Linked DNA regions of Coturnix japonica. The protein of the gene in region 3 purifies or fractionates together with the protein of the main gene of each other region. This does not show direct contact. Links are inferred from orthologs where the notes say so. Each region holds a gene or a part of one and is shown on either strand. Other genes may lie near its edges. The genes, in order: RASSF3, MAP1B, STK3, SLMAP, RASSF6 and MAP1S.

What was found.
Region 1: the proteins of STK3 (region 3) and RASSF3 purify together in Homo sapiens (affinity purification with mass spectrometry; 4 studies listed by BioGRID and IntAct, with this or other methods). This does not show direct contact. The link is inferred for Coturnix japonica from reciprocal best matches to the Homo sapiens genes STK3 and RASSF3.
Region 2: the proteins of STK3 (region 3) and MAP1B purify together in Homo sapiens (affinity purification with mass spectrometry; 4 studies listed by BioGRID and IntAct, with this or other methods). This does not show direct contact. The link is inferred for Coturnix japonica from reciprocal best matches to the Homo sapiens genes STK3 and MAP1B.
Region 4: the proteins of STK3 (region 3) and SLMAP purify together in Homo sapiens (affinity purification with western blotting; 3 studies listed by BioGRID and IntAct, with this or other methods). This does not show direct contact. The link is inferred for Coturnix japonica from reciprocal best matches to the Homo sapiens genes STK3 and SLMAP.
Region 5: the proteins of STK3 (region 3) and RASSF6 purify together in Homo sapiens (affinity purification with mass spectrometry; 4 studies listed by BioGRID and IntAct, counting the BioPlex papers as one, with this or other methods). This does not show direct contact. The link is inferred for Coturnix japonica from reciprocal best matches to the Homo sapiens genes STK3 and RASSF6.
Region 6: the proteins of STK3 (region 3) and MAP1S purify together in Homo sapiens (affinity purification with mass spectrometry; 3 studies listed by BioGRID and IntAct, with this or other methods). This does not show direct contact. The link is inferred for Coturnix japonica from reciprocal best matches to the Homo sapiens genes STK3 and MAP1S.

The regions. Positions count from the first base shown.
Region 1 is NC_029516.1:30,674,228-30,679,023, reverse strand, and holds the end of RASSF3 (ras association domain-containing protein 3), read right to left. Parts: intron 4,091-4,796; coding exon 3,975-4,090; intron 3,664-3,974; coding exon 3,514-3,663; 3' UTR 740-3,513; downstream 1-739.
Region 2 is NC_029547.1:23,153,123-23,158,700, forward strand, and holds the start of MAP1B (microtubule-associated protein 1B), read right to left. Parts: upstream 3,153-5,578; 5' UTR 3,050-3,152; coding exon 2,872-3,049; intron 1-2,871. UniProt on the Homo sapiens protein: Facilitates tyrosination of alpha-tubulin in neuronal microtubules. Phosphorylated MAP1B is required for proper microtubule dynamics and plays a role in the cytoskeletal changes that accompany neuronal differentiation and neurite extension.
Region 3 is NC_029517.1:115,653,408-115,658,203, forward strand, and holds part of STK3 (serine/threonine-protein kinase 3), read right to left. Parts: intron 1,825-4,796; coding exon 1,632-1,824; intron 1-1,631. UniProt on the Homo sapiens protein: Stress-activated, pro-apoptotic kinase which, following caspase-cleavage, enters the nucleus and induces chromatin condensation followed by internucleosomal DNA fragmentation.
Region 4 is NC_029527.1:6,474,235-6,479,030, forward strand, and holds part of SLMAP (sarcolemmal membrane-associated protein), read left to right. Parts: intron 1-926; coding exon 927-989; intron 990-1,859; coding exon 1,860-1,955; intron 1,956-2,562; coding exon 2,563-2,634; intron 2,635-3,417; exon of another isoform or gene 3,418-3,427; coding exon 3,428-3,544; intron 3,545-4,653; coding exon 4,654-4,791; intron 4,792-4,796. UniProt on the Homo sapiens protein: Associates with the striatin-interacting phosphatase and kinase (STRIPAK) core complex, forming the extended (SIKE1:SLMAP)STRIPAK complex.
Region 5 is NC_029519.1:45,379,553-45,383,219, forward strand, and holds part of RASSF6 (ras association domain-containing protein 6), read right to left. Parts: intron 3,093-3,667; coding exon 3,041-3,092; intron 2,025-3,040; coding exon 1,906-2,024; intron 1,819-1,905; coding exon 1,721-1,818; intron 948-1,720; coding exon 872-947; 3' UTR 1-871.
Region 6 is NC_029543.1:2,348,750-2,354,302, reverse strand, and holds the start of MAP1S (microtubule-associated protein 1S), read right to left. Parts: upstream 3,188-5,553; 5' UTR 3,141-3,187; coding exon 3,005-3,140; intron 1,767-3,004; coding exon 1,665-1,766; intron 786-1,664; coding exon 703-785; intron 616-702; coding exon 475-615; intron 167-474; coding exon 1-166. Other genes in the region: cocaine- and amphetamine-regulated transcript protein-like, read right to left, coding at 3,693-3,800, 3,888-4,007, 4,245-4,583. UniProt on the Homo sapiens protein: Microtubule-associated protein that mediates aggregation of mitochondria resulting in cell death and genomic destruction (MAGD). Plays a role in anchoring the microtubule organizing center to the centrosomes. Binds to DNA. Plays a role in apoptosis.

The DNA.
Region 1 (4,796 bases), on a different chromosome or scaffold from region 3:
CAACCTGTCCCTCTGGGAGCACTGGGCCACAGGGAGGCGTTCCCACACTGGTGTTGGCTGAGTGCTTGTGTGCTCCTGCCAAAGCACCACGGCATCACGGACAGCAGAGGGAGCCGACTGATGGGTGAATCTGTACTCAAAAACACCAACTCCATCAGCAAATCCAGCAGTTCTTCCAGACGTCTAGTACAGAAGGAAGATGAGCACTGGTCAGGTGGCGATTTGTTTTTATTTCCCATTGTCACCAAACCTCTAACATTGTTACAATACATCCTGACGTAAAGCCAACCTGCGGAGCCAGAGCAGCTTCACCAGCTCTGTCCTTGTGAGCCTTTTCACCAACGCAGGCCCAACTCACACCCTGCAGCCTCCCCACACTCCCCTCTCCCACACACTAGGCCGGAGGTTCTTGGGCAGTCAGGAGCACAGCTGGATTTTCACCTTTTGGATTCACACCAAGGTCAAAGGAGAGCTGTTATTGTGCTTGCCCCCTAATAAAAGCACAGGAGGGACCAGAAGAGCATCACAGAGCATCACCATCCCACAAAGACACAGCCAGGCTTATGTACTTGTGTGGCACTCCTCACTCCCAGGGCACAGGTACCATCCTGACTACTCATGGAGAAGCAAGAAGGGAGTTCCCATAACCATGTGCCACAAGGAATCCTCATCCAGCACTCAAACCATCCCAACACAAACTCCAGGCAACACGAAAATAAAAACATACCACGTAGCGAAGTATTGCCAACTTCAACTTTAATGATGGAACCATCAATTGCCATTTCATCAATAACTTTTAGGGGAATAAAAACTTCCCTATAAAAATAAAACTAAGCTTGTCAAAATTATAAATAGTTTAATGCTTGTTTGTTTTTAAAGACATATATTTTAATGTTTCCCTGCATTCCCCTCCTCCCCCCCCCCCCCCCCAACCCCATCGTCTGATCATTCTGGTACCATCACATATAGAAATGAAAGCAGTTCTGCAACAGAAGCTTTGACAGTTTAATTTGACGCTAAAATTAAAAACAGAAAAGGTGGCCAGGGACGACCATGACTTTTCTTTAAATTAAAGCTGTTGTAATTGCCAGTGTGTAAAAAATAATAATAATAACAATAATAATAATTAACCCCACACACGACATCTTACAATAATTAACCATGGACTAAGACAGAGTTAAAATATAGTGAGCCGTTTGGGTTCTTTGCCCCTTTCTCCCCCCAATTCCAAACTCATAGTGCATCCAACACTGATTGAGGTTTTTTTGGCTAAAGTAAATGCAGATGTGCCCACTTAAAAGACCGATAGTTCAAGTAAAAACAAAATTCACATATTTTTATACTCCGCTTTTAGACTCAAACAGTGTTTAAATCTGAGCAACAAATGGTTCAACATCAACAGCGATTATGTAAAGGTTACATCGTTACGGGCAGGCATATAAATAAGTAGATGTTAACAGAATACCCACAGACATGCTGCTGCTTCATAGAAAAAACAAACCATAACAGAACAGAAAAGCATTCCCTGAACCATTATAAAGTGTCTCACTTGAGGATAATGTTACTAACTTGCACATGCACTACAATGTTACATGTGAAATTAAACAAACAAACAAGATATGCCTTATAGATACTTTATAGTTAGTCCTACTTTTAATTTCTCTTAGCGCTTTAAAACATTACGATTGTCAAATTCTTTTCATTTTTAACCAAAAAACACCTGCGAAGGGGTTTTGAAAAAGAAGCTTAAGGAAAGGAAACAAAGGCACAGTCATGTCAAACTGATGACCAGGAGCATGGCGGAGTTTCACACCGTATCCATTAGATGTCGCCAAACTTCTAACAACTCCTTGGGAGTTCAAAAGGAACATCCTTGGAGCGGAGGAAATAAAAACCCACCCAAATGAAAACAAAATAAAACACTGCACCAGCTGGAGCAGCCCCTCAGCCTACAGCACTTCCCCGCCTCACCTCCATCCTACAGAGCTCTGTTTCCTCTCTGGTGCGGTAATGACTGAAGTATGGGTTACCCGACCTGCCTCACGCCTCTATTGCACTCCCACTTCTTTGGTTTCTTTCCAGCATGCTTTTTAGATAAATAACTCTGAAAGAACCACAATTTTATTTACAATAAAGTAGAACGTTTTCTTGCTACATTTTTCCTACATTTAAATCAAGTAAATCAGCAGTGTAAGGAATTTGGTAATCAGGTTTCAATTAAGGATTTAAAAATGCTTTGAATTACTACCAGCAAGACTTGCTAAACTCGGTCACCAACACAGCCAATATAATTTAATTTTCTGTTATGTTGGAAACACAAATAAGAAATGGCTTCCTCTGCCTGACCGAGCCCCTTTAACAGACGAGGAAGCAGATGAATCTATTTTTGTCTTTCAGATAACACAAATCAAAACTATCCATCCTAAACATGGATTGCTGAGCCACAGGAAAGATCTGACTTCCAATAAAGAGCAAATGCAACCATAGTTACAGCTTGGATCCTAAACGCTCACTAGATGGGCACTTCTCACAGAGTTTTATCTTAGATAACATCCACATTCCATAATTCAAGTAAGCAGCCTCTTGTTTAGCTTTGCTGCACTTTCCAACGACACGTTTACAGAACCAGCTTCTCCAACTGTGACCTCTACGTGCAGCTCCACTTCCGTTCTTATTCAGCTTTTGCCTCTTTTTCCTTCCCAATATTTCAATCATCTTTATTTCTTTTCCAGTGTGGGTTTATGCAACTAAAAAGCCCTAAAACTTAAGTCACAATATTACAACATCCTAAAACTTTACTCTTATAGAATTAGTATTTTAACTTTCCTCTGTATAAATACTATTTCTATCTAAAAACAAGTCCTTCTCCATTGGTTATTACACCTTCCCTGCCTCCAACTCTAACCCTCTCTTCAACTTTCTCCTTACCTTCTCTGGGAAGACCAACTGAAAGCCTTCCACAACTCTCACAGAACAAAACACAAGGTCTCATTTGCCTTCCATCTATAACAGTTCTCTCACAAATTATACAGTAACTATTCAAAAACAGAAAGGTAGTGCAAATCAATTTCATTTCAAAGATAGTGCTCCAACTGATTATTTTCCAGATAGATTTATTCATTTTATTAAACTAATCAATTTGCACCTCCTTACTTGTAAAGCTACCATTTAAAGCAAAGAAGAAGAAAAAAAATAATCTTATTTTATAGCATCCTAGTAAATCGATTACAGTTTCACAGCTTGCACCAAGATTACTTGGAAAACTCTCTAGGCACACAGAGGGTTGCAAACTGATGTACAAACATGCAGAATCCCTTACGCATGTGGGTGCGAGATGCTAAGTGACCTGGCTTATGGAACTAAGTCTATAGCAAAATTCAGGTACCCCAGCATCACAAAACAGTCTTCTGAATAAAGAAAACTACTCTTTGCTGCTCTTTTGTACTTTGGGTTTGGCATGCTATACTGACGTTTGGTTGTGTGCATTTTTCCTGAGAGTGCTTTGGCCCCCTTTTAACCAGGTTTCCACACCCCACCAAGGGCTTCTTCAAGTTTGTCCCTGTAAGCTGCGTAACGCTTCTTTAAGATTTGCAGTTGCTCGTTTTCCTCTTTGTCCAGTATACGCAAGAAGTTCTGCAGTTCAGGAAGGCTGAAAGCTTCCCACTGTGAGGACAGAGAAAGAAAACAACAGATGAGATAACAGGAAATGCACAAAGCATTTATATATACGCAGCATCAGGAACCCTGCTCGTAAGTCTCACCAATCTGAAAATGTTCAGCTCTTTTATGCTGTCTTCTGTTCTGCAAGTAACAGCAGGCCAGTCTAACCACAGTCTAAACGCTTACAAAAAAACTCAATCAGGAGAAGAAAAAATGAAAGCTTCCCCCCCCCCAAAAAAACCCAGATCATTACATCAGCACAGACCAAACAGGATCCCTGAAGTTAAAGGACCAAAAAGCTGAGCATAACATACCATGACCTCTCCAGTCTCGTGCTCACGTAGAACAAAACTGAGCATGTCTGTCCTGGGGCCTGCCACCAAACGCAGGTAGAGGGGATGTTCTCGGTCGGACAGCTTGCATATATAAACTGGAGGAGAAGAAGTGACAGAAATTAACCATCTTTAATTACGATGTTTGACAGGTTTTGAATGATCAGTGCAAGCCAACGTTAGAGATTTTAACAGACCTGCACCTGTGGCCACAAATCTACACATTCTCCAACGTCATTCTGAACTAATGAGCTTTATGGACAGGCAGCAGAGCAGAGCTAAGCTCAAATATGAATGAAGCAGCTTCTAGTCAGCACAGGATCTGAATATATGCGGGGGCGGGAGGAGGAAATACAACACAGCTCTGTAGCTATAAATAAGTATTTAAAACATCACAGCTGTGCTATCATCATTCTGAGACTTTTTTTTTTTCCAGACAGCCAGAAACATCTGAGCTCCTGCAACCGCTGTCAATGTCTGCCTACAGAAGAAGGCAGATTCTTAAATGCACTAACACAATGCTGAAGATACCTTCTTCATCTTCTGGTATTTCCAAACACGACATACACCTAACTTTTTCATCAGATGGCGCAGAGAGCATCACGCACACCAAGTACCACATGCAAGCAGAATGTGCATACCCACAACGCTCATCAGCTGTCTGTCCAAGCAGGGACTGTGGGCATTGCTGACACAATGGTTTCTCTTTAAAACACTTCAATCTCACAGACCTGTAGTGCTGACGTTTAGGGCCTGACAGACCCCCTGCTCCAGCAGGGGAGATCCATGCAGTTGCTTTAGTGG
Region 2 (5,578 bases), on a different chromosome or scaffold from region 3:
TAAACATGATATATTGCCACACATGTACAGCACAGATGAAATATATGAGTAGTGAACTGATGCTGATCATGAAGTTGGAGCACACTGGGTGTTGAACTTGAAGAAGCAAGAAGACAGCAGCTTGCTGGCCTCCAACAGCAAACCTGCGTGGGAAGGCTGCAAAGCTTTCTGGAGGTCAGTTAAGCAATATGGACTATGATTCAGCACTGCTGCTAATGACAGAGCCTGCCCACCATCCCAAACCATTTTTGTTGTGAATCCAGATTAGCAGTGGGTTATGATTCTGATTAGGCATAGTCATACCACTGAGCCCATCAGTATCCAAAATGCAGTACTTAGGGCAAAACAACTACAAAGAATAGCCTAGGCATGCTATCCACACAGCAGCTGAGGATGAGATTTGGTAAAATAGGCCAGATTTGCAGATGCATGATTCAGCATTTTGGATGCAAAACCTATACAAACACCTTAAAATGTAGTATAAATGTATCAAGTAAATTATACAACCAAATCAAGTTTGGATGCAATGGAAGTAAATCTGGAACAAAAATCCAAGGTCAATCCAATGATGTGTATTATTATCAGGATGGAAGAAACTACTGTGAGGATGACTGAGCTGTAGCTATTTCCTTCCTTCTGCAGTCTCTGGAGCATAGCGCCACTAGACACAGGGCTAATCAGACAGCAGACAGGGCACACCCAGCAGCATCTGCCAAATCGGTGGAAAGATCCTGAAGCTTTCTCCTTACTCCCCTCTTCTTCTCTACTGGATGGTGGGCTGGAGGACTGCCCCCTCAGCAGAATGACATCCCAAATGTAATTACTGAAAATGCAGCTTGCCAAGCAATTCCCACTTCATGATATATTAAGAAATGACTCTGCATTCCACCAGGTTACGTAGCATCACGCCACTGATGTCCTATCAGGAGATGTTTTTTGCTGGCATATTGCTCTGCAGTTCAGTGCGTGAATCCACACTTTTCTCTGGTGGTACTTAGGAGATGCACCAGAGAAGACCTTGAGGCAGAGTTATCAAGAACCCTAAAACCACTTAAGGCTCTACTGAGGACAAAGGCTGAAAGAAGCCAGTTTTTCCCTACTGCACTTTCCAAAGGGAAAGATTAGTCAAGCCCTCAAATAGACAGAGCTACAGACTCAGAGTGTACTGATCCAGAACAATGCACCCCAAAATCTGATTTTTTTCCTAGCAGGCAAGATCCCTGTCAAATCACCTGACATCAGGAAGAATGAGGTGACTTTTCAACCAAAATGATGAATAAAAACACTAAGGTATTTCCCTTGAATATCTAAAACTGTAAGCAGGTGTTAAGCTTGTTGGCTGGAGGTAGCAGCAACAGAGCTATGCAGCAGCAGCTTCACAATAGAAGCTTCAAGAAGCGACTGAAGAACATTTCTTCTGAGGAAGGATGACATCAGATGCCTTTACAGAAGTTTTTTTCCATTTGCTCTATAAATTGCATCAATTTAATTGAAATTCAGCCAATTCACTTCAACACAATCAACAATTAGTTAAAACGAGAGAGGGAGAGAGGCGCAATGCTGAAGAGGCTCTGAATGACAAAGCATCTGCATCAGTAGTCCTCCCTAGGAGACAATGGTTGAGATAAAGATCAACGGGTCACGGTGAAGCTGGTAAGCCGGAATGAGGCAGATCTTTGCTGTGAACAGCCAAGAAAAAGAACCATGAGAAATCGCCAACTGCAGCAGAAAGGGTTGAGAACACAACAATAGAGACAAGCGAAGTCCTAGCTGGAGTGCTGAACCACACCTACATTCAAGGCTGGTATCAAATCCCTTGCAGGCTCCCTCTCTCCTTTCACACAATAGCGTATTTCTGATTTTTGCACTTTCATCAGCCCAGAACAAGGTATACACTAAAAAAAAACCAAAAATCACATCTTAGGCTAGTTTAGCAAACTATGAGGTCCCCCAATAATTTCCTTTGTGCTTCATACCACACTTACAGCAACAGGGCTTTTCACCTCTCTATGCACACCGCAATCTCCTTTATTAGAAACCGCATCAAGAACTTACAGAACTCGGACATTTCACATGTGGTACCTTCACCCAAAGCCACCTTAAGGAAAGGGCAAACGAGCAGCGAGCCGCCGCAGCCCGGGATGGACAATAACGGGGCTGGGCACTCAGACTGCAGCCTCGTTACCAGCATCTTTTTTATTTCTTTCAACACAGGGGTGGGTGTGTGCCATGCTTGGGTCCCGAAGGATTCTGCATCGCGCTGCCGAAACTTGGGCACAATGCGCAGGGATGGAGCCGCAGCCCTGCGGTCGCTGGGAAAACGCCCCACTGCCGCCGGGGTCTGCGGCGCTGCGACGGAGACGGCGATGGGGACAGGGATGGGGATGGTGACGGGGATGGGGATGGGCTGCAGCCCCCACCCAGCCCCTTTCCCGGCGGCGCTGGAGCAGGCGCCCTTTGTCCGCTCCGGGCTGCCATAGGGACCGCAGTGCGGTCTGTGCCACGCCCACCCGCCGGTGTCTCCGGGCAGACGGGCTGGGCGTCCGCCGCAGCCCCGACAATGGCGCGGGGCGGGAGCGCGGGGCAGGGGCTGCGGGCGCGGGGACCACGCGGGGGGCCCCGGGGTGCGGGCGGGGCCGGGCGGGACCCGCAGTTAAAGAAAGAGAAGCGCCGGGGCTCGGAGCTGGGCTCGGCGCTCCCCCGCCCCGCAGGGGGTGCAGCGGGCGCGGCTGCAGCAGCACGGAGCCCCCCGTCGGGGCGCCTTGGGCAGCGGGCGGGGAGCGGCCGCCGAGCGGCTGCCGGGGCCGTGCGGGTCGCAGGGGGAGCCGCGCACCGTGCGCTCCGCGCGATCCGCCGCCGCCACCATCTCACCTCGTTCAATGTTGGTGATGGCGCGGCGCAGGTGCTCCTCTGTCACCAGCTCGCCGATGACCACCAGCAGGTAGAACTTGCTGTCCAGGAAGCGATGCGACAGGCTGGGCGAGGGAGCGGCAGGGTTCGGGAGGCTGCAGGAGGGCTCCGAGTCCGCTTCCACTACCACGGTGGCCATCGCACCCCCCGCTCCGCCCCGCGGCTCCGGGGCGCTGAGGGGAGAAAGAAGGGCCGCTCGGCGGCGGCTCCGCAGGCGGCAGGGAGTGAGGGCGGGCGGGGAGGCGGCCGCGCTTTTATACGGAGACGGGGCAGGGCAGGGACCTGCCGAGGAGGAGGAGGAGGAAGGGGGGGAGCCGGCGCATCCCCGCCGCCGCTTTTCCAGCATCCACGGCTGATGTCATCTGCAGCAAATCCTCCCCGCGGCGGCCCCCGGAAGCAGGAAGGACGCGGGGTGCGAACAACGCCCGAGGGTCGCCGGCGGACCCCAACGCCCCGCGGTCTCGCATCCCGCAGCCCTCGGTGGCCGAGGCCCCTGCGGAGCTCCGGCTGCGCCCAACCGGGCGGGATGCGGCTCCGGGACCCGGCCTTCTGCATCGCCCTGCGGTGCTGCAGCGCAGCTCGATAACCCTTACGGCTAGCAATCGCAGTGGTATTCTTACAGTTTGCTTGATGCTTCAAACGTAGGGCTCCTGCATGCCTTCAGTGTGCATGGATTTGTGACTCACCCCAAGGGTTATGGATAGGGTGCTTCCAGCAGTGGACAAGCATTGAGAAACCGTAATGCTAAGGCCTTGGAATTTCAAAGGGCTTCAGGTGGCTCCTTTTTACCAGCAGCTCCAGTGGAGCTGGAAAACACCTTCCATCACAAAAGCAAAGGGCGGGTTCCTGAGTAAAACCATGCCAGAGCCAGATGTCTGCTCTCCCATGTTCATCAAAACCCCCTTAAAAGGTAAATTCAGTTACCACCTAGCAGTGTTTTATCCTCCCCTAAAACTGGATGGAGTACTCTGGGATAAACCAGCCTCCTGGAGATGTTCTCACTTCACAGAAGCCAGGCAGTAGTTTACACTAAGCATCATTTGTGTGGCTGAAGTGATGCAGGACCTGGGAGAAGATATAAATGTTGATAGCCTGGTTTACAAGACAAGTTCTGATTGCTGGCTGAGGAGATGTCAACATGCAGGTCCTTGCAGCACTCATTGCTCTAGTGGCCTGGTGTGCCCTGGTTACACAGTCCTTGCCTGGAGGAAGTGATACCCCAGGTCTGCTTTCTTAGAGTAAGCACTTTGGTTTGGGGCACAGTGCAGTCATTCTAATCGACATGCACTTGTCATTTAATTGACAATCCCAGAACGTCTCTGCCCACATCTTGGACTGAAACTCTGTTGCTCCAGGTGCTGGTCCATAGCATCATCTCTACCCACTGCACCTAGAAGCTTTAGAATGAGTAATTCTTCTGCTTGCACTGAGCTCCTTGGTTAGTACAGCATTATGTGGTTGGAGGTTGCATCCCAGAGAGGCTTTTGTTGCACTGCCATACATTGAGGGCTGCAGGCACTTTTACAGCCCCATCAGGTGGCTGCGATGACATGGTAGCAAGAGCAGCACTCTTCCAGTGCTTGAAAGGAGCATTTAGACAGGAGGGGGGTTGCCTTTTTACAAGGATGGGTAGTGATAGGACAAGGGGCAATGGTTTTAAACTAAGACAGGGGAGGTTTAGGTTAGAGATTGGGAGGAAGTTTTTCACACAGAGGGTGGTGATGCACTGGAACAGGTTGCCCAGGGAAGTTGTGGGTTCCCCATCCCTAGAGGCATTCAAGGCCAGGCTGGATGAGGCTCTGGGCAGCCTGGTCTGGCAGTTGGTGGCCCTGCATATGGTGGGGGGGGGAGGTTGAAACTAGATGATCATTATGGTCCTTTTCAACCCAGGGCATTCCATGATTCTGTGTGTGAAAAATACATGTAGAAACACATAGTAAAAAGGCTCAATTGTATTGAATCAAAGAAGAAAATGCTGACAAATGGGTAGGTGATACAGTTATACCTGAAATAGCCTGTTGAGATAGTCCTCTGTTCTATGGGAATATTATGCTGTAAAGAACGTGCAGTAAGCACGTTGTGTGACAACAGGTGAAGAGTTGCAGCCAGCCCCTCTGGTGATGGGGATGTTTCACATACTAAACTCTGAACACCAGGGGCTGCCTTTGGGAGAAAATGGCCTTGTGCTACCAGGAATATAAACCTCTGTCCTCATGTTTTTACCAGCTCACACCTCTTCATCTGAGATGGAAGAGGACATGCTATAACCCTATGAGTATACCTCTGAGAAGGCTGCCGGCTCCCGGCTCCATGGCCAGTGGGCACACTGTGACTTGCCCTGCTGGCCACTCCCATGTCTGTTTGTCTTTATATATCTGGAAACCCATTTGTATTTTGCAGTATGGAGCACATCAACAGATCTGCTGCTGGGTGAAATGTGGAGATGTGCTGTGTAAAGCTGACTCAGTGTCATGTGACCTTCCTTGTTTGAAGTGATGTCAGCTTTCTGGCTGCAGCTAAATCACGTAAGTATGCCATTTCAGAGGTAGAAGAACTATGGAGAATGTCTTTCTGTTTTAAAGGGACAATGATTGATATCCAGTGTTCCCTGTCTTCTTGTTTGCTTTGGTTTGGTTTTGTTTCTCCAGGACATTTAATACCAGATTGG
Region 3 (4,796 bases):
TCCTGTTTCATGAGATGTAAGAATGAGTGACTACACTAATTAACCCCCAAGGTACAGAAAGGCAATCCCCCTTCTTAATAGGAATCACTACCAAAAGTGATTCAATTTGAAAATATGAACATGTTTTTGTTTTGTTTTTTTTAAGTTTTCAGCAATGTAAGAAACTAAAAGGATAAGAGATTGCAGTGCAAATGTAAGGGCATTTTTTCTTTAATTGGTTTGGCATACTAACGTACTATTCCCCCTCAGCACATAGAAAATGGCATGGATAGTTACCAAAACTTAAGTGATTTGAAAGGCTGCACAGAAACCACACAAGTCCCCTGGTCCACAATAATCCCATCATGGGAATTATTTTATTTGCTTATAATCTTTCCAAATATTCACCATCACTACTCACTTCCTTAACTTGCTGAAATGTGTTAGTCTAAGATCACTTGATCTACCCCTCCATTACCCTCACAGTTTAATAGGTAAAATACTGTGTCAGCATAAGAACAAATTAAAGCGCGCACTGTTTGCATGAGGTGAATCACCCTGCTCAAATTAAACACTAATCAACAAGTCGATTGCTTTATTGCTACAAACACTGAAGGAAAAAACAAGGCAACAACAACAACAAAATAACAAAGAGGGAAAAAAAGCAGAAGTGATCACATCTTCCTCTCCTCCCAATTTGCTGTACATTCAACAACAAGGAAAACGCACCTGATTTACACTTCCAAACAATCTTTTCAACCAAATTATAGCAGGTTTTTGCACACAAACAGAAATGCAATCTTGTTTGATATAAATCATAAAACGAATTTATTTAAACAGTTGCCTGGAGTTAAGCATTGAATTGTGCCTCATAGAATCAAGCACTAAAGCTACAGCATCACCTATAGATGCTGCCCTTTCAAATTAATGATTTAACTTAAAATCAGTGGGAAGTCTTCAGCCAAGTAACAAACAGATCAAATGTAAACACGTATGTTTGCTGTCTAACAAACACGTTATACACATCTCAGTCCAACTGACAAGTTCATCATTTGAAATCCTTTTCCCCCCCCCTTTGTTATATAATCTTTCACACCACTGAAGTTGATTTTGACTTCTTAATTTATTTCAATATGTTTTGGCCATTCCCTTAAATCATGCATTAGCAAATTAAATTTTAACAAATGCCCATGAATTTACAAAATAATTTTGCAGCAAGATCTGCAGTACTTACTGCTGAATCCACGGTGCGTTGCAATGAGTTTTCAGGAACACTAACACTGAAACAACACCTCCCCACACAACCGCACCATTTGAGTATAGCTCCTTGGAGCTGCTTCAAATGGATGCAGGACAGGAGGCAAAATGCAAGTGACAGGTAGTAGAAGGGAGAATTCACAGGAGGCTACTGTTTGAGTCCTCCAGAAAGACTCATCAAAATACTAAAGCCAAGTGTAGTACTTTGAATCTCCCACTATAGCTGCTCTTCTCCAATAAGGAACAAAGTGTGTTTATAGAAACAAACAGCCCTCTCCCTGACTTTTAACCACCGAACTTGACTTTTAAAGGACACTGATGGTAGACTATTCTCACAGAAGATGAGAAAACACAATGCATTATTAACAGAAAAGGAAAGTAAACAAAAAACATACTTTTCATGGTTCCATCTTCCTCTTCGTCATCGTCGCTATTTATTACCATGGTCCCCAGGTCTGACTCTAGCATGGTACTGTTGTGTTCAATCATTGTCTGAGCGCCTTCACTCATCGTGCTTGTGGCCCGCATGGTACTAGCACTCTCTGAATTGGTCTTCACCATGGTGTGCGAGTCCAGCTCATCTTCATCCTAAAAGAAACACTGGTCAGAATGCAGCAGAGCATTTCAGAAAACCAAGTTAAGATGCAATAATTTAGATGCTTATTCATTGTTTTTTAATCTCTTCACATGACCTAGCTATACTGCTAGACTAACAGGTTTAATACTACCAAAAGAATGTGAAAATAAAAGGCAACCTATAACGGTAAAAGAAAAAACTTCATCCTATGCCAGCTTTATAGCGCTATTGATTTACCAGAAACATGTCCCACACAATCACTTTTATACCCAGCTTTGAATATCTCACTGATCTTCTGGACTCGGTACACTTCTCCGGGACTAAAAATCAGTAACATGTTTTGTTTGGTTGTTTTGAAGCAGATCATCACACCAAGGCTATCACCCTTAACTAAATAATATGTTTTTTATCTAGTATCTTGACAACAACCTGTCTTGAGAGACCACCATGAAGAGGAGCAATCCCAAGCACAAATATAGGAGCAATCCCAAGGAGATGGATCTGGCAGTGATGGCTGATGGAAGATTTAACATGAGCTGTCAGTGTGTGCTTGCAGCCCAGAAGGCCAACCATATCCTGGGTTGCATCAAGAGAAGGGTGACCAGCAGGTCAACAGAGGTGATTCTGCCCCCCTGCTCTGCTCTTGTGAGACTCCACTTGGAGTACTGCATCCAGTTCTGGGGCACCCAACATGAGAGGAACATGGAGCTGTTGGAGCAGGTGCAGAGGAGGGCCATGAAGATGATCAGAGGCCTGGAGCACCTTGCCTAGGGAGACAGGCTGAGAGAGCTGGGGCTCTTCAGCCTGGAGAAGAGAAGGCTCTGGAGGGACATTATAGTGGCCTTCCAGCACTTGAAGGGGGCCTACAGGAAAGCTGGGGAGGGACCTATTAGAAGGCTATGTAGAGACAAGACAAGGAGAAATGGTTTTAAACAGGATGAGGGTAGAGTTTGACTAGATATTAAGAAGAAATTCTTTACTGTGAGGGTGGTGAGACTCTGGAACAGGTTGCTCAGTGAGGTGGTGAGTGCCCACTCTCTGGAAGCATTCAGGGCCAGGCTGGATGGGGCTGTGAGCAACCTGGTCTAGAGGGAGGTGTCCCTGCCTATAACAGGGTGTTGGAACTACATGATCTTAAGGGTCCATTCTAACCCATTCTGCGATTCTATGATTTTGAATCGATGTGCCAGGAATGTAAAACAGAGAAATAATGACCATCCAGTTAATGAATTATTAATTTTATATGGAATATCAATATTTGAAAATAGTGTTGGGAAATGCCATTCATTTTTGCAGTTTGATTTCAACCATGTGCACAACAGCACAGCACTTCATGAATGCATACAAGCATTTTCTACATGAGTACATTTTTAATGCTTCTCTCATTGACTAAACAAGAAATAATGCCCACCGCTGTCAAGACACTGTATGCCAAATTTCGAAATTTTACATGTAAATACTATGTTCACTGATTTTATAAGCTTCCCAATCCAACTGAAAACAGTCATGTATGTACACATTCTCTCTACTGTAAATGAACTTCAATTGCATCCTGATACAAAATATCTCTGGTTAGGAAAGTATGCTCATATCATAAAAATATCAGGTAACATTATTATGTGCCTATTACAAGTAACATGCCTGTTGTTACACAGAACATTAAAACAAGATTTTACCCGAAAACTAATTTTTCCTTTTGCTAAATATGCTTCATATTTTAACTACAGAACAACCTGTAAGGAGTGCAGAAAGAAAGAAACCCAGTTACCCAATTCTCCAGCTCTGGCCCTTTTTATTTCTCACTGAACTAGCTCTTTTCCCTTCCTGTTATTCCCTGACATGGCACACAACTTGCCTGTTGTACAAATGGAATTGCAAGGAGCAGCTACACTGTATGAGTGCCTGTTTCACAAATGGGTAGTCAAAGTAGGTATGGAGAACCATATTTAGTAAGAGTACCAATAGACCAGCTCCTACAACAAGTTCTGTTATGTCTTGGCCCAGAGACACAAAAACAGATCTCACTTGGATTCAGAATCTAGCTAACAACACAGTACGCTGAAACCAGGATACAGAGCAGATTTGAATAAACTGTCAAATACCAAAAGAATCATAGCTTCCCACATTATAATTTGTAAATATTTCAGAGTTCTTAAATTTCATTTCTAACCTGCACACTAAAACACTCTGTGTAGCACCATACCCTTAAAAACTCAAGATACTCCTAAAGACGGACAGTTTACAGATACAGCACCAGATGACTGTGTCTGTAAATAAATAGGAATATTTTAGTAGTGCTCCTCCTGGTGGCAACTTTGATTTTCCTCTTTTTTTTCTTTTTTTTTTTCCCCCCCAGTTCACACTTATCTCACTGCTTTCTATATTTTTCCCTTCCCAAATGGTTATTAGGAAGCCAAAGTATTTTCCTCTAATATTCTCTCTCTCTCTTTTTTTTGCATTGTATTTGAGAATTGTCTAAAGTATTTATTGATAAGTGTTTCTTTCAGTAATGCTGTACAATGGAAAACCAAGTGAGAACATACTGCTTTTTATCTTAATAAACAATAAAAATGAAGCATCTCCAATACAGAGAAGCAGTTGAGATTAAAACAGAGTTAACAGCTGATGTACATGTTTGCTTGACTAATATCCACACAGAAAAGTTGAAAGCAGAAAGGAAATACATTTTCCTGAAGCTTAAATTCTCTCTATATTTTTTTTTACAAGTGGGGAGAAAGAAAAAAAAAGAAGGTGGTGACCACCAATATGAACAAGTAAAAAGTGAATTAATAAGTGCCCATTTTAAGATCTTCTGGTTTATTAAAAATGCTGATTTTTTAAGTTCCTGAGCCAAATCGAGCATCTGGATTCTTTCAAGGAATAATATTTCATTTTCCAACCTAGAGTGACAAATGTCTTTGTTTTACTATTATCTTTCAGCATAGAGAACAGCTGTCACCCAGTACCTGGAAGACTGAGGATG
Region 4 (4,796 bases), on a different chromosome or scaffold from region 3:
TCAAATGAATCAACATTTTCAATGCAAAAACCAAAATGTTTGGAAACTAAGGGAGCTTCTTTACGAAGTCATCAGTCTCGTGGCACTTGCATTAAGCCAGGGCTTCAAGCAGTGTACGTAGTGTGAGTGCATGGTGAGGGCAGAAGTTCTGCAGGGGATTGTACTGTACTTGTGTGGGAAATGGTTTCTCAGTGGTATCAGTGTAGGTAACAGCAATAATGAACCACCCCACCTCCTTAGCCTGAACTGCAGAATGGTTTCTGGCACCAGGAGAAATGTGGAGTTAAAGTAAGACTTGGTAAAACAACAGACGTTCTTAAGCCTGGCTGAGGTGAGGCACTGAATAGCGTAATTTTCTTCAATTGAATTTGTATTAAAATCAAGTGAAGTGATGGTGCAGAAACACAGCAAGAACATTATTATACATTAAGGTAATGCAGGTAGTCCCCAGCTGTGAAATAAGGGGCAAAGGGAATTGTGAAGGAGATGGAGTTAGGTCAGCAGAAAATGTGTGATGAAATCTTGAGAGGTAGGAGCGGGGAACAAGGCATGTTGAATTGGAATATGAGAAAGTTGTCATTTCTGGACAGCCCGATTTCTACTTGTCCCAGGATTGCATGGCTTCACCTTTGTGCACCTTATTGCTTTTGTCAGATTGTCTTTTGTTTGAGCTGAGGTGAAGCTGTTTGGTACTTTGATTCAAAAGCTTGTGAAGACAACAGCATGGTGTGGCCATGAGTGCTATGAGTGGTGAAGTTCTGTGTTAACCTGAATTAAAATGACAGTAGATGCAAAATGATTGAAAGCTCCATTTGTTCAATAACAAATTTACCTTCCTGACTGTATTTAAATTATGAACCTTACCTTAACTGAGTCTAATGAAAGATCCAGAAATGTTTAGATTCATCAATTCTCTTATTTCTCAGGTTGCTGCTAACACGCCCAGTATGTATTCTCAGGAATTGTTTCAGCTTTCACAGTATCTACAGGTAATTTTTTTCACGGCAGCATTAATTGGATTAAATATTTAATCTCTGACTGATTAAAAAGTAACCAAAAATGTATATTTTTGTCTTCCCGTTTGTAAGCAGGAACAAAGCACTTTACCTTATTCTGTAGTGAAACAATATAGGAAGTGTTATAATTGAACCTAACATAGCTCCATGTAAGCTTCTGGGGTTCTTAATGAGCAGTATGAACTATGGCTTTCATATAAGGTGTAATGGTAACGGCAATTTGTATTCCAGTTAACGATATGGGTTTTGAGACTTATTAATTTTGGATGCATTTGCTGAAGTAGCAGGAAGCAACTCAGGTAGATGCCCTTTTGTAAGAGGGCAAATTCAGAGCTATTTACCAGTCTGTTCACTCTTGTATCCTGGAATTGTTAAAAATTCCTTGCTGACCCAAAATAAATTCAAACACAAATAGCAATTCTTGCATGGCATTTATTTCCTGTGACCCGATTTAGGGACTAGCAGCTCAGTGCACAGAAGCTGCCAAATCTGCCTTCTGGTCGGTGCATCAATTTTATTGCTGAAATTAGTGACAAAAGTTCAGAGTGGGCATATTACTGAAAAGTCTTGGAACTGTTTACTGTGTGTGCTCTGCATGTGCAGTGTATGCTTGAACAGATTAACCTTTTTGGGAACCTGACATTGTAAGACAACATTTTCTAATGGAAATATCCAAATGAAAGTGTGGGTGAATAAAATGGGATGGTTTTACTGAAGTTTTGAATATGCTCACAATCTTTTTTTTTTCCTTTAAATTCAGTGTTATTTGGTATCTTTGCTATTGCTTCTGTTTTGAGTTGCACCAGCAGAACTGACCAGTTGGCTCTCTTGATCTCATTGTAGGAAGCCTTACATCGGGAACAAATGTTGGAACAGAAGCTGGCAACCCTTCAGCGACTACTTGCTGTTACACAAGAGGCTTCAGATACTAGTTGGCAGGTACCAGAAAGCATCCTTTCCCTTTATAGGCTGAAAAAGGAGCAAAGTATAAATTGTTTCTATTGCTTTATAAATAACCTGGAAAACAAACAAAAGAAAAGAGTAAAAAGCATTTTGTGGTTCTCAAACTGTAGAAGACAATGTTTAATAAGTTTAATGTACAGATTCGATAACTTTAAATGATATTAATTGATTATTTAATCGATTAACTGATTATTGATTGGACGGGTAATGGTTTTAAACTGAGATGAGGAGGTTTAGGTTAGATATTAGGAAGTTTTTCACTCAGACGGTGGTGACGCACTGGAACAGGTTGCCCAAGGAGGTTGTGGATGCCCCATCCCTGGAGGCGTTCAAGGCCAGCCTGGATGTGGCTCTGGGCAGCCTGGGCTAGTGGGACCTTGCCTGTGGCAGGGAGTTGAAAACAGATTATCTTTATGGTCCTTTTCAACCCAGGCCATTCTACGTTTCTGTGATAAATACTCCAGTAATGTAATTCTAAAGCAGAAGTCCACTGGATCTACTTAAAATACAGTGTTCTGTTGAAATGGCTTATTTGTTTTGCCATGACTAATACTAATATGAGGTAAAACTTCTTCTCTTCCAGGCTTTAATAGATGAAGACAGGCTGCTATCAAGGTTAGAGGTTATGGGAAATCAGTTACAAGCATGTTCAAAGGTAGGTAATTCATTTAGTACAACTCCATACTGGAATACTGAAAGATAGCTCTTCTGAAGTATTTTGAAATGAGACACTCAAGAAAGCAGTTTGAACACAAACTTCCTCATGTGGGACTGTGCTGTGCAGTTTTAACCTGATTAGGCTGAAAATTGTAGGGCTGTTCTGTATTTCATGGAATCATTTTAAGTTTAGATAAATGGTTATCTATCAGCATTTTTTGAGCCCAAACTGGTTTTTCTTTTCATATACTGGAAAGGAATTTGTCATCTGTGAGAAGCAACCAATCTGTCAGCCCTGTTTTCTTTTCAAATATGGATTTGAAAAAAGGCATTGTGCATATGCTGACATTCAGAAGCAAAGTAAAAAGAATTCTCTGACTTGTGTGTTATTCAGGCCATGTATGCTTTAATTATTTTTTTCTTCCTCTCAACTACCTAGATGATATTTTATTTTTTGCAGGCCCTGTCTGAGATCTCTCAGATGGGACCTTAGAGCATTTGGCTTTGTCTGACAGTAGGACTCCTAGGCTTGACTCTGTTTTGTGCCTCAAAAAATTACAGTTCTGCTATGATCAAAGAATTGCAGGTGTGCACTGTTGTACATGGAAGTGGTTTATACCCAGTCATGTCAAGAATCCTTATTCAGTGATTTACCTGCAATGTTTTCTCATCTACCAGCAAATGCTGAACATTTTGGAATAGAACAGATTATAGCACAATCTCACATGTTTAATCAACAAAATATTAACTTACATTTTTTGTATTCGAATTGCATTTCCAGAATCAAACAGAAAGAGCTTATAGCATTACAAGAAGATAAACACAACTATGAGACAACAGCCAAAGAGTCCCTGAGGCGGGTCCTACAGGAGAAAATAGAAGTGGTCAGAAAGCTGTCTGAAGTGGAGGTAATGAACTAGTTTGCTGGAAATACAGAAATACTTGCAAATGCTGCTAATTAGATCCATGTTTATTGCCTGTGACAGGCCAGTGTCTGTCATATTGTGGCACTTACAGTATATTAAATAGAGCTGTTTATTTCTTGGATGCTAATCTTAGGCTTAAACTGTTAATGGGGGCTTTAAACTTCCTTTTTCCCCCCACTCTTGAAAAATATTAAGCTTTCTTAACATATTTAGTATGTTTGGGAAATAAGTGTGGGTGAAAATAATGAAAAGAATTCTCTGACTCCTCCATTATTCTTTTTCCTCTTCAATTTGACTCTTGGTGGAGAAATATTAATCTAACCTCAGTATGGGGTTTCCTTGCATGCTCTCTAGCACATCCTTTCCCCTTCACGCAGAAAAATTATTGGGTCCTGGTTGGAACTGGTGCTTTAATTATTAAATAAGGTAGTGTGAAATGCAGCTTTGGTTAAATTGTGGCACTGGACTGTTTTGATGATGAGGAAAGAATACTAAGTTAAAGCTTGTTACCAAGAAATACAAGTACTTTTTTGTTTACTGTCTGTAATGTGATACAAATGAAGAAACAGATCTTGAGTAATGAGGAGGAAACTCTATATGCCATTTAGCTATGCTGTTGGCCACAGCTGATGCCAGCTTGTACTGGAGCATTCCTTGTCTCCTGAAGAGTTGGCTGCCTCTTGAGTAAAGGGCATCTTACCTGAGATGCTTGCACACATGGTGGAGTTCAGAAAACAAATCTAGAAATGGCATAGAAGAGAATGAGGGAGATGAATTGCACATTTCAGTTCTTTATTCCCATTGGTCTTAATTGTTTTCATGGCCTAATTTGGCTTTGAGGTGTGGTGTTGCTTTTTTTTCACATGCGTGAAGCTTTCTTCATGTAAGTTCTATTAAGTAGACTATTACAAAGGCTTTTGCCAGTGCTTGTTTTATTGTGTTTGGACTTGATTATTAGGAGCCGAGCAGTTTGAAAACAAATATGATCAGTTGCATATATTGTTTTGAGGGGAAATGTAGGTCAGCTGGAATGTTTGGTGGCTTATTAGTCTCAAGTTTTGCATTTGCTCCACACAAATTTTCTCTTACAGCGGAGTTTAAGTAATACAGAAGATGAATGTACTCACCTGAAAGAAATGAATGAGCGGACTCAGGAAGAATTAAGAGAATTAGCCAATAAGTACAATGGAGCTGTAAATGAAATTAAAGATCTTTCTGACAAGCTAAAGGTAAC
Region 5 (3,667 bases), on a different chromosome or scaffold from region 3:
GCAGAAGGATGCCAACCCCATGCTATAAGAGCTGTGATGTCAGCCTCTCACTAAACACTTCTCCTTTCCTTCTCCAAGAAGAAAACACAGGAAGTAATATGGAATAATCTGTCTCAATGAAAAAAGGCATGGGGTGCCTTCTAGCACTCAGTCAAGCAAATGCCATAATACTTAGTGGGAACTCTCTGGAGCTTAAAATGCATGTCAGAGATATCTTTGCTCATACTTTAAGAGCAGAGTAGCCATGAAGATGGTGAACTTCGATTTATACTTTTCAGACGTTGAGTTAAAGCTTAGACTAGTTAGGTACCTACCAATTGAAAACCACTGGGCTTTCAGGTCTCTCTTGTATAGGTGTTTTTGTAAGCTATGTGAAATGCCTAACTGCAATCTTAGATATGTAAATACCTTTTGCCACTTAACTCTACAGAAAAGCTTCCTCCTAACAAAATTTATCTTTTTTTTTTTTTTTTCTAATAGAAGAAAAGTCATATACATTCTTTTCTTATTTTTGGCACAACTAGCACACTGGTTATTGCAACATTTTGCCTATATACTAGACTCTTGGTAATGGTTTGGAATATAGAAGACTTTAAAGCCTAGTACTTTTCAGCACAGGATTTTTCCCAATCTGAAGTTTCAAGTTAGATTCAGACTTCGTTCTTTGGATGATATAGTCCATCTTCTTAGGTGGTCCCCAACTTGTATTCCAGAGCCATAGTGGAGCATATGCAGTTTCAGCTGCATAATTATCAAAAGAAGCACTTTGCACACCCTTGTGCTCTAAGTGCTCCCCAGTGATGGCACATTCAAGAAAACAGACTTTCCTTTGCCAAAGGCAGTGGGTGATAGTTGCAATATGCCATTCACATCAAACAGTAGTCTCTGTTTTTTTAGAAGTCCGATTTTGAAGGTGCTGGCATATCATACGCTTCTCTTTATGGTATCTGAGAGAGAGAGGGATAGAACAAGAGAGAGAGAAAGAATGTGTTTAATTACACAGAATCCTCTGGAAAACATTTTTAACCTGAATTTTAACATGTTAGTTGAATGGTTAAAAAATTTTGCAGTGAAAGTCATTCTGACAGAAAATGGCAATAGCTTGTATTTATTCTTTTCTTTCTGTTCCTGGCTGGTTTTGTTGAAAATGATTTGATGGACATTGGATAGCAGATTCACAGCTCGTCTAGATTTGCATTGGTTTTGACCTCATGGTTGAAGAGCCACTGGTGCGTTTCTAATCTATAGCTGTTGTGAATACTGAGCTACCATCAGAACCACTCATGCCATTCTTCAGAAATTAAGTTCTATAGGACATTCATCTGCACCTGGAGTTCAGCATCTATCTAAATTGAATGCAGTGACACTTATATAGTACCACAGTATTTACTGCATTTACACATTCCAGGGAAATACACAGCAGCAAGTAGAAACTGAAGTATCAGTTTAAGGCTGAGAAGACATCCAAAGTACAACAGAAGTGATCCTAGGGCTCCTGGTTTTATGGAAAACTCCAACCTCGTATAAGCAGTACTCTGGTATCTTCCACAGCAACAGCTCATTTAGGGCTGCAGGATACAGAAACAACTGTGATTCCCACAAAGTTCAGTGTGAGCAGTAAGCGCACACTGATACATTAATGCATCAATCTATTGAGCCAAACTATAACTGTAAGCATTCTCCCAGACCGAAAGTGATCCCCCCTAATTTCACTTCTTACTTTGCAATTGTCTGTTGAATCTCCTGTTCCTCTTCTTTGTTTAACCTGTGCAGAATTGATTCCAAAAAGGGAAGATGAAATTGAATATATTGAGCAACCTACCAAAAAAACAAAGAGAAATGCCCATTAGTGACTATATTAACTGGGAAGAATACTGTGAACTGTTAGAACGATTATATACATACATCGCTGCTGACCTCTTCCACATCCCTGTCCATGAGAAAAAACTTGACAGCCTTCTCTGATGGCCCCTGCAGGAGTCTGTGCAGTAAGGGAATGTCTCCACTTCTCAGCTGCTTCTTTTCTGCGATTTAAAAGCAATGTGCTGATATATAGAATACACAATAGCGCCTCTAAGTACTAGATGCAATTGGAAGTCTTGTTTCTTGGCAAAGTTTCTATCTTTGCCTGATGTGTTATTATTAAGGGTATAATAAGTCTCTAATGCATATTCTCAGGAAGATGCAACACCTACATTTGTACAATGATAGGCCAGTGTCTATCAAAACGCAAAATGAAGAAGCTGCAGTTTAGGTAATCAAGTACATGTTTAAGAGATTGGTTCCAGGCCTGACAGTGTGGCTGTAACTCACTGAAACAAAATTCGCTTTATAATTTTCAAACATCCTTTCAAATTCACATTTTGACATTTAAGGTACATTTTCCTCTGTTCTCCCATTCTCTCAACTATTATTCTTAACAATAAACAAACAAACAACAATCTTTTCAAGAAGAAATGGAATTGTAATACATTGTGAAAGTGGGCACTGGAAAATTGAATACTTCGAACTAGATATCTGGGGGATCCAAGACTGTCTTGAAATTGTGAAGTCCAAATGCAGTGGGTTTAGTTAGTCTGGTTTTCACCAAGTTAGCAGTTCAAAGCCACGCTGGGTATCTTCTAGCACTCTCTAAAACTCTTATATCCCTTTTTCAATTAAAATATTACATAACACTGCCAGATGGAAACTGGCATCCTAAGACTGTCATGTCTTAGGATGTCATCTAGAACAGAAGTTACAGCAGAAGAGTTTCTCAAGCAGATGTTATTTACTGGAAAAACTGAGGCTTGTTTAATGGAAGCAGCCATACTCACAGCACCCAAAGCACCCAGAACACAACTATTCAGGTTTTCCTCTCCATCAGAGAGGCTCACATATCTAAGGGGTCCCAGAAAAGCAGAAGTGCTGCTTTGTGCTTAGGCACTGTGTGCAAGGACAGATGCCTGTGATGAATCCTGTCACTCCAAGGTGAGCAGTCCCCCCACATACACAGAAGATAAACAGAAATGAAGCAACCCCACAGTGATATCTGGCTTACCTCCGGACACATGGATTATATAAAGTGCAAATTCATGGGGACTGTTTTCTATCTGTAAACACAAAACCAAAGAACTGTTCAGACTGATTTATATGTTTCTCAAGCATTTTATCAGCAGCAGATACGCTACATGCTTCTCAACTGTTAAATCAAAACCCGCAAACTAGGCCTTTGTCTATTGGGCGAGTTAGAAGACACTGAGTATGGATAAGATTTAAAGCTGTGCTGTCACTACCTTTGTCCTTCTACTCCACTGCCTTACGATTGCCAATGCTACCACGTTGTCTAAAGGAGCAACACACACCACCTTAGACCAAAAACAGATCTTCCCAGAGTTTCCTTTCAGCATCCCTAACTATTTCTTACAACTTTCTTTTCAGATGATAATTCGATTTTCCAAGAATATTATCCTTAAGACAGCAACCTGTGATCTCTCCTGATTCACTTACCTGCATCACCAGGTTCAGAGAAAAGGGTTCTTTTCTAAAAGTTATTTTTTCAGAACATGCTGCACAACTGTACAGAAATCAACTTCTTTTGGCTTTTAGAAATTCCAAGGGGAAAAAAACAACAAAAACAAACAGAACAGAGCACAGAGTGTCGTTTTTAACTGTGGCTTTCTGGATC
Region 6 (5,553 bases), on a different chromosome or scaffold from region 3:
GCCCTTCCATCTCAGGCAGGATGCAGCCTGGGTTGTAGCGCAGCTCAATGAAGTCCTGCAGGTTGTGATGGTCCAAGCCCGAGTCCTTCCACTCCCCAAAGTCAGGGCAGCTGATGGTCAGCCTGGCTTTGGCTGAAGGGTCTGCGGAGCTCAGGATCTCCCCAACCTGTGAGGGGAGAGCTTCAGGCAGGGCCCTGCTCACACCAGGCAGCACCCAGGGTCCCTCTGTATAGGGCAGCTCCCTCCCCAACACACACCACGCAATCTCTGGGCCTTCACTCAGCCCTGCCTCACTCCCAGCTATAACTGTGTCCCCCAGTCTCCTTTATTGGGATTCAGAAAGCAGCCACCCTCCCACCAGCCTCATGCTGCAGAGGGAGGGATGCGCCCACAGCACAGACAGCTCCGCTCGCTCAGCCGAGACACCGCAGACGTGAGCAGACAGTGCCCCCCCCCTACAGCCCGGCCCCTCACCTCCTTGTCAGTGAAGATCTGGATGAAGTCCCGCAGCGAGAAGCAGCCGGTCTGCAGCATCAACTCTCCCGTCTCCTCCACGCAGGGCCCAGCAAACACCAGCAGCTTGTGCTGCGACACATCCGTGATGAGGTTGCGCAGCTGCAGGGGCGTGAGGACACGTGAGGATGCTGCCCCCCTGTTCCCCCTCACACACCTTTTACATCCCCCCCCCCCCTTCCCACTCACCTCATCACACAGCGACTTGTCGGAGGGGTTGAGCAGCACCAGGGTCTCCAGCACATCACCGCGGTGATGCAGGGTCCGCTGACCTGCAGGGACAGCAGCTGCCACCCATCCCTCCCCAAACGTGGCAGGATCATAAGGACAACCCCCCTATACCCCCCACCCCAGGCTGTGTGTGGGTCAGGGGGTGACATAGACATGCCCAGGATGGGGATAGAACCTGTTCACTTCCCCTACGGAAGAGGGACAGCTGCCAGCCGGGACAGCAGGGGATCTGCTGCACTTCCCATCTCCTTCCTGCTGCAGGAGGGGGGGCAGGAAAGGGAGCAGCCGGGTCCCCCAGAGGATCTCCATTGGCTTCAAGCAAACACCCACCCCCCCAGGAGCCAAACACAATGTGGACATGGGGTACCCCAGCCCCACCAAGGGGTGGTGAGCTGCAAACACACATGGGATGAGACACGCCGGCACCACAGTGACCACACAATCCCACCAGCATCCACCCTCAAGGGGAGGAATGAATGTGGCTGTTGGTGTAGGAAGCAGCTTCCCACGTGGGAATCACGGGGCTCAGCCCCAAACAGCAGCCAGGGATGGCTGAGATAAAGGTACAGACACATAAAGCCCCTTCACCACCACCACCATGTTGGCCTCTATGGCTGTGATGGCTGTCAGCACCTCCTCCCCAAATCCAGCTTCCAGAAGCAGCGAAATGCTTGTGTAGCAAAGAGCATCTCATCCCATCTCATCCCATCTCATCCCATCCCATCTCATCCCATCCCATCTCATCCCATCTCATCTCATCCCATCCCATCCCATCTCATCCCATCCCATCTCATCCCATCCCATCTCATCCCATCTCCTCTGGAGACGCATGAATTAATCACTGCCATGGGGTCAGGTAAGGACCGTGGCACTCAGCCCCATTGCTGTGCTGTCCCCAGCTCTAAGTGTCACCTCGGTACCTTTAACGATGCTGGAGAAGGTGGCGGAGTGACGGGAGACAAAGAGCTTCAGCTGCTCATCCAGGTTGCAGGAGGTCAGGTCGATGTCCCAGGAGCGGATACCTGCAGGATGGGCATTGCCTGCTGTCCCCATACACACAGCAGGCGACAGAACCCCACTGTCCCCACTCCTCACCCTCTCTATTCCCCACTGCAATCAATGGGGATAGAGTGGGGACTTGGGTGTGATGGTGGCACTGCTGGTGTGTGCTCTGTATGCCATGATGTGACTCACAACCCCAAACCCAAACCCTGAGGCTACGGCAGAGCCTTCCCAGCACCTCCTCAAAGGCGGTGCTAATGAATGGGATTAACGGGGTGAGAGCTGCCATAGAAGGGAAGGGAAGCCTCCAACCCATTGCAGCTCCAACTAATTGGACCTATAGAGCAGCTCCATCTCTCAGGGGGTCTTTGGAAGAGGAAGAAGGGGGGGGAAGGGCTGCCACCACCATCACTAACGGCTGCTGATGGCGCAATGAGCCGCAGTGTGGGGTTGCACAAAGAGCTGCTGGAGCCGTTCTCTAATGGTTCCCCATTGGCTTTGGTCCCCCCCCATAGTGACACATGGGTGTCCCCAGCGTTGGGCTGCTCCGGCATTGAGGTATCACAGCTCTGGGCTGGCAATGAGGGAGGAGCTAAGACCCCCCCCCAGCATCTCTTCCTACACAAAGCAGCCCCCAGGGATGGGAGGTGGGGGCAGATGGCTGGGACTAAAAGAGGGGGGGCAGATCACAAGGATATGGGGCAGATCACCAGGTTATGGGGCTGATCACCAGGATATGGGGCTGATCACCAGGATATGGGGCTGATCACAGGGATATGGGGCAGACCACAAGGATATGGGGCTGATCACAAGGATATGGGGCAGACCACAAGGATATGGGGCAGACCACAAGGATATGGGGCAGACCACAAGGATATGGGGCTGGACCCATAGATATGGGGCTGACCCATAGATATGGGGCTGACCCATAATGTGGGGCTGACCCATAGATATGGGGCAGACCACCAGGATATGGGGCAGATGGGGCAGATGGGGGAGATGGGGGAGGTGGGGGCAACATAGGAGATATAAGAGAACGGGGGCGGACCGCGGGGGTGGGCAGGCACTGATTGATGCTGGCGCTGCGTCCTCCCCCGAGCATCCATATGGAGGGGGGCGGTGCCCACAGCTCCCCCCACATCCCACGACGACCCCGCCCCAACGACCCCCCCCTTACTCCCCCTCCCCCCCCCTCAGGCCTTTTGATGTGGCCGGGCCCCGTCGATGGGGCCGCAATAGGATGCAATATACGGCTCACCTCGCTCCAGCTGCTGCAGGGCGGCCGCCAGCAGCCCCGGCCGGTGACATCCGCCACCCACGATCGCCAGCAGCGAGAAGCGGCGCGGCCCCACGGTCGGACCGGGAGGAGCCGCCGCCGCCACCGCCGTCGCCATCTTCGGCGCCCCCCGCAGCCGCGCTGCCCGCCCCCTTTAAGCCACGCCTACTTTTTGGCGTCAGCTCCGGCGAGCCACGCCCACTGACGTCACCGCTGGCCAATGGGAGGGCGAGGTGTGAAGGGAGAGAGGGTGGAGGGAGGGGTGGGCTTAAAAGGGCGATGGCGGGGTGGGGCCGTCGGGTGGGGCCCGGCTCTGGGACCATAGACTGCAGTGTATCATAGCGCTGGGTACGGCCCCATTGCATCCCTATTGCTCCCACCCCCCCACAGCTCGGTTTAGAGCCTGCAATGGCATCACTGAACCCCCAAATAGCAGAGCCAGGCGGTAGCAGAGGGTCCAAGTGGTTTAATGCGACCCCCAGGGATCGGTGAAGGCACTGAGATCAACGGAGAGAAGCAGATCTCAACGTGGGGAGGGGGCTGAGACCCATAGCCCCCCCCCCCCATATCACACAACACAGCATGAACCCAGCAGCATCCCAATAGACGGCAGCATCCCAATAGACGGCAGCATCCCAATAGACGGCAGCATCCTTGTTGTCCTCATCCCTTAGGAGCAATGCAGGATGTACAGGTTGCACACGGTGCCGGGGGGGCAGCTACAACGCTTCCCAAATCGAGCCCCCACCCGCACAGCACAGGGCTCCCCGAGGTGGCACTGTGAGATAAGAGCTGTCACTATCAGCAACAGGCCTGGGTGCCCCCCCCCCCCCAAAGACCCCCCCAAAGACCCCCCCGGCCCTACCGAGGGGACCCTGCCCGGTTTCTTGGTGCTCGGTGGCATCTCCCTGTGTCGCAGTTTCTCCAGCACCTCCTGCAGCGCCTCAACGCCGGCACCTCTGGCATCGACCCCTCGGGGCAGGAGCTCAATGGGCAGAGAGAGAACAAAGAGGTGAAAGCTGCTCATCCCCACACCCCATTCCCACGTGGATGGCCCTTTTCTAACCCAAGCTATGAGATAAGCTCCAAAAACCACCCAGGTTCCAACACCACGGACCCCCCCGTCCTTAAAACCCTGCCAACGTCCCCCCAATGAGGGGTACATACAGCAGGGACCCCCCCCCAGCCCCCAGCCCTCAGCCCCCAGCCCTCAGCCCCCTACCAGCTCTGGCTCCTGACGATGTGGGGCTGCCCACAGCCCTCGTTCCCCCCCATTGCCCAGCGGGACGAGGCCGGCGCTGGCTGCACAGAGCAGGCAGAGCCACGCAGTGCCCATCTTCCAACGTCCATCCCCAACAATGCGGGGCTCAGCTGCCTTTATCCCCCCCCTCAACAGCCCGTGGGTGGTGGGCAAACACCCACTGACGCAGGCAGGGTCTCCCTCCTCACCCCATAGTCTGTCTATGGGCTGTGTCCCCCCCCCCCCAACAATAACCCAACACTGTGCTGAGCGAGGGGAGACATCCCTGCGGTGCCATCCCTTGGGATGTGGATGAGCCATAGGATGGACGTCAGCGCTGTGTGCAGCCCGGGGGCCAATTCATTGAGCAAACACAGCTATGGGGGGGGGGCTGCACCTCGAGGCGGGGGGGCAGGAGGAGGCAGGAACGACCCCCCCCCCTCCTCCTCCTCCTCCTCCTTAATGCCAATGGCTGCAGCCTCAGGACCCCCAAATGGGCACTGCTTTGCCCCCCCCCAAGGCTTCAAAGCCCCCCATCCCTACCCCACATCAGGGCTGTATTGAGCTGACAGGTCCCTCCAAGCCCCCCCATGCCCCCCTATGAGTGTGGGGCTCCATCTGAAGCTCAATAAGGGGAGGGGTCCCACATTACAGCCCCCCCCCCCCCAGCCCCACGCTGCTTAAGCCGAGGCCGCGGCCTGGCCGCTCTACACGTGACTCCAAGCCCCGCCCCCTCTCCTCGTCACGCGGTGCATTCTGGGTAACGCAGTTCTCCCCCGCCCTCAAAGCGGAAGTGGCTGCGAGCTTCGCCTCCATTTCCCATCGTGCATCGCGGAAGCAGCGAGTTGTGGGTAGAGCGCCCCCTACCGGCGGGCAGCGCTGGAGGACTGACACAACTCCGGCCACCAGGGGGCGCTCAATGCGCAGAGTGGGCGGGTGGGCGACCCCCAAATCCCCCCCCCTAAATAACACGGAGAGACCCCCGGCATCACAACGTGTCCCCATATCATTGCATGGCTGCGAACAGCACCTGGGGGGGGAAATGAATGGGGACGGGGGGGAGATGAATGGGGGGAGGGGGTGATTAATGGGGGGGGGGGGGTAGTTTCGGGGCGGGGGTTTCCCCGCTCCCACGCGCGCCCCACGTGGGATTTTCGCGCCACGCACCAATCCCCGCGCTTTTCCATTCAGCGTTCAGCCAATAGGAAGAGAGGGGGGCGGGGGCGCGCCACGGCGGGGTATAAAAGGAGGCGGCGGAGCGAGGGGCGGCTCAGAGCGATCGTGGAGCTGA